Coturnix japonica: one gene and its partner. The protein of the gene in region 1 interacts with the protein of each later gene in a biochemical or structural test. Links are inferred from orthologs where the notes say so. Each region holds a gene or a part of one and is shown on either strand. Other genes may lie near its edges.

Evidence for each region.
Region 2: the proteins of GAB1 (region 1) and GRAP2 form a complex in vitro, tested with the Homo sapiens proteins (2 studies listed by BioGRID and IntAct, with this or other methods). The link is inferred for Coturnix japonica from reciprocal best matches to the Homo sapiens genes GAB1 and GRAP2.

Annotation. Positions count from the first base shown.
Region 1 is NC_029519.1:26,860,322-26,864,136, reverse strand, and holds part of GAB1 (GRB2-associated-binding protein 1), read right to left. Parts: intron 3,293-3,815; coding exon 3,199-3,292; intron 2,872-3,198; coding exon 2,748-2,871; intron 632-2,747; coding exon of another isoform or gene 556-631; intron 1-555. UniProt on the Homo sapiens protein: Adapter protein that plays a role in intracellular signaling cascades triggered by activated receptor-type kinases. Plays a role in FGFR1 signaling. Probably involved in signaling by the epidermal growth factor receptor (EGFR) and the insulin receptor (INSR).
Region 2 is NC_029516.1:45,896,224-45,900,487, forward strand, and holds the start of GRAP2 (GRB2-related adapter protein 2), read right to left. Parts: upstream 3,008-4,264; 5' UTR 1-3,007. UniProt on the Homo sapiens protein: Interacts with SLP-76 to regulate NF-AT activation. Binds to tyrosine-phosphorylated shc.

The DNA of each region.
Region 1 (3,815 bases):
TGAAGGTTAAAGAACTGAGTTTTTACACCCAGTTAAACCATGCAAGTTTTGTTGATGTTATATAGATACAGTTAAATTAAACAGAAACAGAACAACGTTAAGCCTGGGACAAAATCAAAAGCCAAAGGGAATGGACGGAAGGAAACCAAAAACCACCCCCCATAATTAAGATTGTCATCAAATCAATCTGTACCTTCCACCTAATACCCCTTTCATATCATGAGGTAATAAGGGAGTTGTTTTGGTGTTACACGTCTCAAGTTTAACATTTCTTAATTACAATTTAAAAAAAACCCAAACAACAACAACAACAAAAAACTTTAAATGGCCATTATATATTTTAGAAGGTTTCAGCCTTTCAATGGTAGCAAAGCTTCAAACAAGACTTTTCAGTTTCACTCGAATCTATCATAACTAAGCTTAAAACCAAAATGCATTATTCAAGTTAACAAAACTAAAAGATTATCACTTTGGATAATTTGTGCAGGACTGCCTAAACTGAAGTTGTATTGCATATACCTACATTTCAATTAGCCCAGACTTTTACAACCTCACCTCCTCTGTCCTCTCCCAGCCTGATCCCTCCCTCTTAACAGGTGTTATAGGAACAGTACAATAGAAGGACTCTTCTCTAAAAGATAAAGAAAAAAAAGGAAGACAGAGGGCAGCAGTCAGCAAAAAATGAAGAGGAAGGCAGAAGGAAAGACAGAAGGGTAAGGCTGACAGCAACTTGAAAGAGAGAGCAGAACATCGCTGATTTTATTAAATAAAACAGGAGTGCAGTGTGTCCAAATGAAATGATTCAAAGCTGATGACAGAAAAGGATTTTAAAAGTATGGAGTTCCCACTGAGATGTAGCTGAAGCAAAAAATGAAATAAATAAATTCTGAAAAGTCTATGCATATTTTTAAAAAGGGCTTTGAGATACCTGGAAATATTCAGATTCTCTAGGAAATAAAATATTTTATTGGTTAGAGCTTAACAGGCCGGGCCTTTAAAATTCATGCTGTTATACATTATGTCTGTATCATCTAACGTATTAAGTGGTTACAATGACAAACAAACAACAGGCAAAGTTCTTGTCACCCCAATTCTTTAAATATATTTCTACATATTTAACATAAAAGCAGCATCTGTGTTAAGGTTTCCAGCATAATAATAATAATAAAAAACTCTTAGTCATTAAACATCTTTTTATCTTAAGCAAACTAAACAGGTAGAACACAGGTATAAGAAACCAAACTTAAAATACATTTAAATGAGAATGAAAGGAAATCTGTAGAACAACCCAGGAAAATGAATGGTGCAAGCAAACAGAAGGATACTGATGATAGGCTGTCTTAGCTGCAACACTAAAAACACTATCTTAGCACCCACTGTAAGAATCAGCAGAAATTCCCACTTCTAATTGCAATGCTGCAGTTTTACTGTGGGTAGAGGCAATTCCAAACCTTTGCAAAAAAGGACATTTATTGCATCTGTATAAGGGGACGTTACTGATTACTTACCAGTGCCTCTTGCACAGTACTCTGTGAGGAGCTAAGTTTTTACATCACTGGCTCCCCACAGCTGAAGCGCACTTCACCTAGGAAGCCTGCCTGTGCTGCTGTCAGGTCTGACAGACATTGATCTAAGCATGAGCCAGGACCTCCTGCAGGCTCGTGAGCTTGCACTGAGTCGCAAGTGCCAAAGAGAAATCAGCAGGTGGGGCTCACTCAGGGGGGTCGTAAAAGGTGGTATCCACAGGCAGCTACAGAGCACAAGGGGAAAGAGACTGGAGGAGACCAGGGAGGGTATCTGGGACAGCAGGGAATAGGGTAGCAAGCAGCACTGTGAAGAGCCAAGGGTTAAGTGAAATGGGATAGCACATGCCATAGAAGGCAGCAGAGTAATAAAAAGAACAAAAACAGAGGTAAGCAGATTCTGCCTCAAAGAACCATAGCTTGATACAACTTTAAAGACGAAAAACATATTCCCTAATAAGAAGTCGAAGCAGCAGAAAGATGGTCATCACACTAAAACTACTCTGACCCAAAAACCGAGGTAGCGGTGCAGGTTTTCCCCCAGAGCTTCAAGGATTGAATGGATTAGGTTTCATTTTAGGCCTAGGTTTACTGCTAACCTTTCACTTAACTTTTTTTTTTTTTTTTTTTTTTTTTCCCCCTTGTACTCTCTCCTGAAGAAAACTAGAACAGAAAACCACAGCATATCAGTAACTTCTCTTACCTAGCTCTTCAGTGAATGCTAAATATTTGAGATACCTCCATCCAAAAAGTTCTCCCCAAAAGGGGAAAAATAAGCAACGTATCAAACTTCCCCTCCCACTGCCACGGACCCTCCACATTTCTCAAATGTCTTTTTAATAAAGGTTTTAAGCCTGTCTCAGAGGACCTATGATAGCTCATTTCCCTTGATGCCCTGATATTGAACTGTCGCATGCTCTAGAACTATCTACAGAAGACAAGACAGTTTCTACAGAAGAGAAAAATAAAGTCATCTGCTGATCTATTTTGCAGTCTGAACGTATGCTAACCATATTCCCTATATATGATTATGCTCATCTCTTCCTCAATGAAATCTTATCAAAATTACAATTGCAGTAGAGGTTTTTTTTTTTCTTCTTTTTTTTTAAATTTTGATCTAGACATACAAATGAAGGTGATGTTGAATGGAAGGATTTGTGTTTGCATGATTTAAAAGTAAGGACTGCACAGGAAGAGAGTAGTTAAGATGTAGATTTTACATACTGGGTCTTCAGTGGACTGATTTGGATTCATGGATACATAATTCTCTTCACTGTCGTGCGAGTCACTGCTGGAAGTTGTGCTATGAACTGAATCCGGTCTGGGAGACATGGGAAACCTGGAGGAGCTAATTACCAGGAATTATTTTACAAACAATACATCTTGAATATCTTAAACCTCCTGGTAAACAATAAAAATAAGCACGTTAGAGCTGAAATTGTCATTCAAGACTACTAGAGTGCCTCATTGTTTGGTTACACAGTCCTTCACATACATTATTAAAAAATAAGAATTAACATTGACATACTTCTGTCTTAATGCATGCATACACATACACACAGTTCCAAAAGAATCTATATTACACAGGCTGAAAATACAACACAGATGTATATATACATTATTAATGCTATAGTCAACAGAAACAATCCAAATGAAGAAAAGCTAGGAAACTTACTCTCGCGCAAAGCTTCTGGTGATAGGAGATCTAACTGGGGCTTGTAATTCCTCCCATTCGGGCAGAGGTTTTATTTCTAGAGGAGCTGGTTTTGCTATATAAGAACACAAGCATAAAACATTCTTAAGCAAGCTTAAATTTAATAGCTTTTCCAATTTTTAATGTCAAAAAAATACTGTTTATTGAATGATAAGCACTAGTTAAGAAGAGACACTTCCATTCTCATAAAGCTATGATACATTAACTTATATTTTACACTTTCCAGTTAAAAAGCAACACTATTTAAAAAAGACACAATTTAAGAATTTTGCAAGATATACAGGTATGTAGTAATTCTATTTCGAAAAAAGACTGAAAATGGCATCAAGTTCTGTGGCATGACTTGCTGAACTGACAAGCACAAATAGGGTTGACTGACAGTTTCAGCCTACAGTGCAAGCACAGCCAACTCCGTATGCTTTTATTGGCTTGTGGACAATTATTATTATGCAAACTCTGAGCTGCGAAACCTAATCCATAAGGAAATCTGTGCAGTGAGGGCAAAGTATGAACAAAATCTTCAACAATGATTAAGTTTGCAAAATGGAGAGATGAGCCAATAGTTAGTTGCAATGCCA
Region 2 (4,264 bases), on another chromosome or scaffold:
GGGACTTGCGGGTAGCGTGACACATAGCCATTGTGACCTGCCACATGCCTGCTGTTCCAACCAGAGCCCTGAGGTTTTGTCCAATACATCCATACCAACCTGTAACAGTCTATGTTTTACCAATGCACCTCATTCTCAAGCAACTTCCACACCTTTTCACCCCATTTTCTCTCCATCCACTTACTGATGCTCTTTAATTCTTACTCATTTGCTCTATGTGTATCAGAGCTGCAAGTATAGCTTAAGCTTGCTGTCTAATTGCCCCTTTTTTATTCCAGGTGCAACTCTATGGATGCAATTCAGACCTGATCTGAAGACTGTCCTCTGTTCTTGCACTGACATTCTTTGCACTCCTGTTTGTAACTTCCCACAGCCATTCTTGCTGATAGAGTGTAAGGGTTTTAAATAGGGGAGGAATTAGCCATTGGGACAACTAGATAAACAATAATACTCTTTCACGGTAGAGAACCAAAGAAAAAAGACCAAGGATAATTACTTTAGTAAGGGATTTATTTCAGTATTTCTTCATATGGTGGTGGGGATCAGAGCCGACAGTGCAAATGAATCCTGGAACTCCTAATGCAGAGCATTAATCTCATCTCGAGGAAAAAACACCCAACAACAAAACACAAAACAAAGCACAACAAACAAACAAACAAACAACAGAAATCAAAGAGAACAAACAAAAAACCTCCAAGCCCCAAACCAGTTCAAAACAATAAATACAAATCCTGTCTTTGATTTTTGCTCCTCAGTCACAGGATAGGCAGCAGGGCTTCTCTCTGCAGGGAGCAGGAAGGGATGGGGAGCCTTTCATTTCTCAGTCTCCCAGGTGCTAAAGATGCCACTGGAGCCGTGACCCTCTCGAGAGAAGTGTTTGTGAAACGGTTAAAATCTCCTCTCTCACCTCATTTTCAATTTCAGCAATCACAACCATGGGGAGAGACCAGGAGACAGATACCTCTTCAAACAATCTAACACATGGATTAAATGTGCTTTTCATTGCCAGCGGCTGGATTTAGAAGCGACTCAAATACCATGCACAGTGTTGGCTGTGTTGATAAATCAGCAATGCTGTGGCCTTAAGCTCTTCCCCCACAAACTACTAAAGAAGCACTAACCCATAATCCTGTCTTTGAATGGCAGCCTACCACTTTTCATCACCTGAACTTCAAACCACCTCTATTTTCTGATCCCAGTCCTCCCTCCATCTGTAACTCGAGGATGTGCAGGTCAGTGCTGGGCCCTCATGAAAAATCTCCTCCAGGGGCCCTTTCTTTTGCTCTCTGAATGTGTGTGACTTTGAGCACTACCCCATGACACACCAAGATGAGAGTTTTTTAGGTAATCATCAGAACTTCCATTTCTCAAGCACCTTTTATCCCAAAGGACAGCACTGCAGTTTGCAGGCAGTCAGATTCTGCTTTTAACTGCCTGGTGCAACTCCTTTAAGCTTTCAAGTAACCAAGGACAATTTTAGACTGTGCATAATGTTCTGAGAGAGAAAAAAAATCACCTTTGTGCAGGGTTTAGCATGAAGCCTCTGCAACTTTTAAAGGAGGATTTGTCAGTTCTGAGTATAGGCTGATGAGTACTTCCATTTTGTGCCGGTTCTCTGCATGGAGGTGAATTTTCTCTGCAGTTCCCCACTGCAACGAGGCAGATCCAATGGGCACAGGGCTACTGCTGTTCCGTGGGACTGATGCTGCAGGAGGTTCATCAAGAGTGAAGAGAAAAGCAGCCCAGCTCTGAGAGCATGAGGTAGGTATTTCAGTTTGGCAGAGTGCCATTCCCTGAGCAAGAACATCAGCCTCTCTGTTGATGAAAAGAGCTGAGGCCTAAATCATGTCAGCAAGCAGCGTAATCTGACAACAGCATCCCAAAGAGTTTCCCCTACACCAAATTGGATTAAAATTCAGTAATAACAATGCCAGGGAAGGTCACCTCCTATGAAGTTTATCACTCTGGGATGGCTCAGGTTCACCCCTACTCAATCTCACATATTAACATCACAGAAGAAAGCACGGTTTCCTACAAAGTGGCTGCTTAAAGCAGCCCTATGAACAGAATGTTGATCTCCCTGCCTGCAGCACAAATACCTCCAGCAGGCAGCTCCATCCAGCAAGGCTTCGTGCTGACAGACACAGTGCGAGCTGCTGCGTCTTTGTTCCGCTCCGCAAGAGCAACCTATCGGACTGATGAGCAACCAGGGACAGGATTCAACCCTGAACATCTGTACAGAAACTCCTGATGACATTTCAGCAGAAACAATGGCGGAGGGACCCGTTATCTAGAAGAGCTGTGATAGATAAAGGCTTTGTTGTCACCAGCTAAGCCACATACAAGTGGCATGGGAATATTTCGTTCCAAAAACACAAGCCTCTTGTTACTGAGTTAATGGCACAGCTCCGCTGACTGTCAGTGATAAGAGAGTAAAATTTATAAGGGAGAACAAGCTACTAAAGTGCTCAGCGCTGTATGTTTCAGTCTTAGCTGTGCTGCCATCCAAAGGAATGCAGGGCTCTGGGCTGAGCCCTTGCACAATGCTCTGACAAAATAAACCTACAAAGAATAGGATCCAGAGAAGGAAAACATTTATAGAGCTCTATGACCAACAGCAGTCAGTAAGAAGTAGCCAGGTGAGGATGGCTCTTGGTCACCCCGGGAAGTCTGGGGCCTCGTACTGCTCCAAGCACACAGAGCAGATCAGGGCAGCACCCTGAGACGCCATGCACAGGCAGCGCTGAAGAGTGCCACAACTCTGAACAGTGTTGTGAGAGCACAACATCATGAATCTCTGCTGGTGCTGAGGACCAGAGGCTGCTTTCCCCAGCCCAGTCTACCCCACCTCCTCCCACAGCTCCCAGCTGGTTGGATGTGGCCAAGATGCAGGGATTTGTCTCTCACAAGCACTGCTCTGGTGTGGAAGCCACCCGACAAGATGACATAGGGATCCCATGCTCTTCCCCTGCCCTGCAGTGCTTTACTTCTCCCTTCAAGATCCCACCTCCCTCCCTAGAGCTTTTCCCACTTAGCTTGGTCCCCCATCTCTCAGAGAAACACTTGCCCCATACCTTTTTTCAGTAGCTCTCCTCTCCTGTGGCACTTTTCTAGAAAGCAGGAGGTGTGTTGCTGTCTAGGGGAAAGGAAGGAAAGGAGAGCTCAGCCCATGCAGGCTCCTCCCTGCAGTGACAGTGCCACGGTGGTAATGGGTCCACGTGTGTGGATGAGGGTGGTCAGGAATTGGCATGGAGGACGGAGGACGGATGCTGAAACAGTGTCCATCACAGGACAGAGTGGGACACAGACCATTTTCAATCTCTAAAGTTGAAGATACTCAGTATGACACGTGCTTTTAATGGTGCTGTCAGTTTGCTGCCACTGCCTCAGCCCATCCTTGTTTAACAGCCAAATAACAGAGGGTACGATCCCTCAAAAAATGTGAGTTCTACCCAACTATAGAAAACAGAAAAGAGCACAGATCTGCAAGTTAAATGAGAAACCATCATAGGTTCGTTGAAAAGCATATCTTGAGGAACAAGGAGCTGAAGACATAAAAACACGTAATAAAATTATTTTCAAAGACAACAGAAGCAGGAAGCCTGCCAGAGCGTCTGTAAGGCTGACAGATGATTGAGATGTAAAAAGGGTGCTCAAAGAAGATAAGGATGAGGCATAAAAGCTGAGTGAATCCTCAGCATCCGTGGGTCTTCCAAAGGGATGTAAGCTGTTTCCCACATTGGGGTTTTCTTTGTGGAGAAAAGCCAGGGAAACTAGAAGTGGTTTTAGGACAAATCAGTATAAGAATGGGAGTAAATCCAGGGATTCGGTATTTTAGAAATCTTGACTGAAAATTAAACGGAGCGTGAAATAGTAAAGGTTGAACAATTGAGCTGTGACATACAATGTAGGACTTAACTCAGTCTCCATATTAGGGCAAAAAGCAGCAAACATGATGCCAACCATTTTAAAAGTGCTTTGAGGGGATGCAAAGAGCAGCAGGTCTAACTTCTGTATGCCTGAAATTAATATGCAGAAACCATAATGAAGAAAAAGATTACCGTGAAGAGAGAAATGACATAGAGGTTGCACCTTGTAGCTTTTGCAGAAGGCAGTCCCACTGCACAAATCTGATGCAGTTCTGTGAAGGAAATGATGAGCATGTGGGTGCAGGTGATCATTTGAGGTAACATACATTCATTTCTAAACTCTTTTTGATGAAGTCTCTTACTGAAGTGTCTTTAAAAGCCTCCCTCCAAAGATC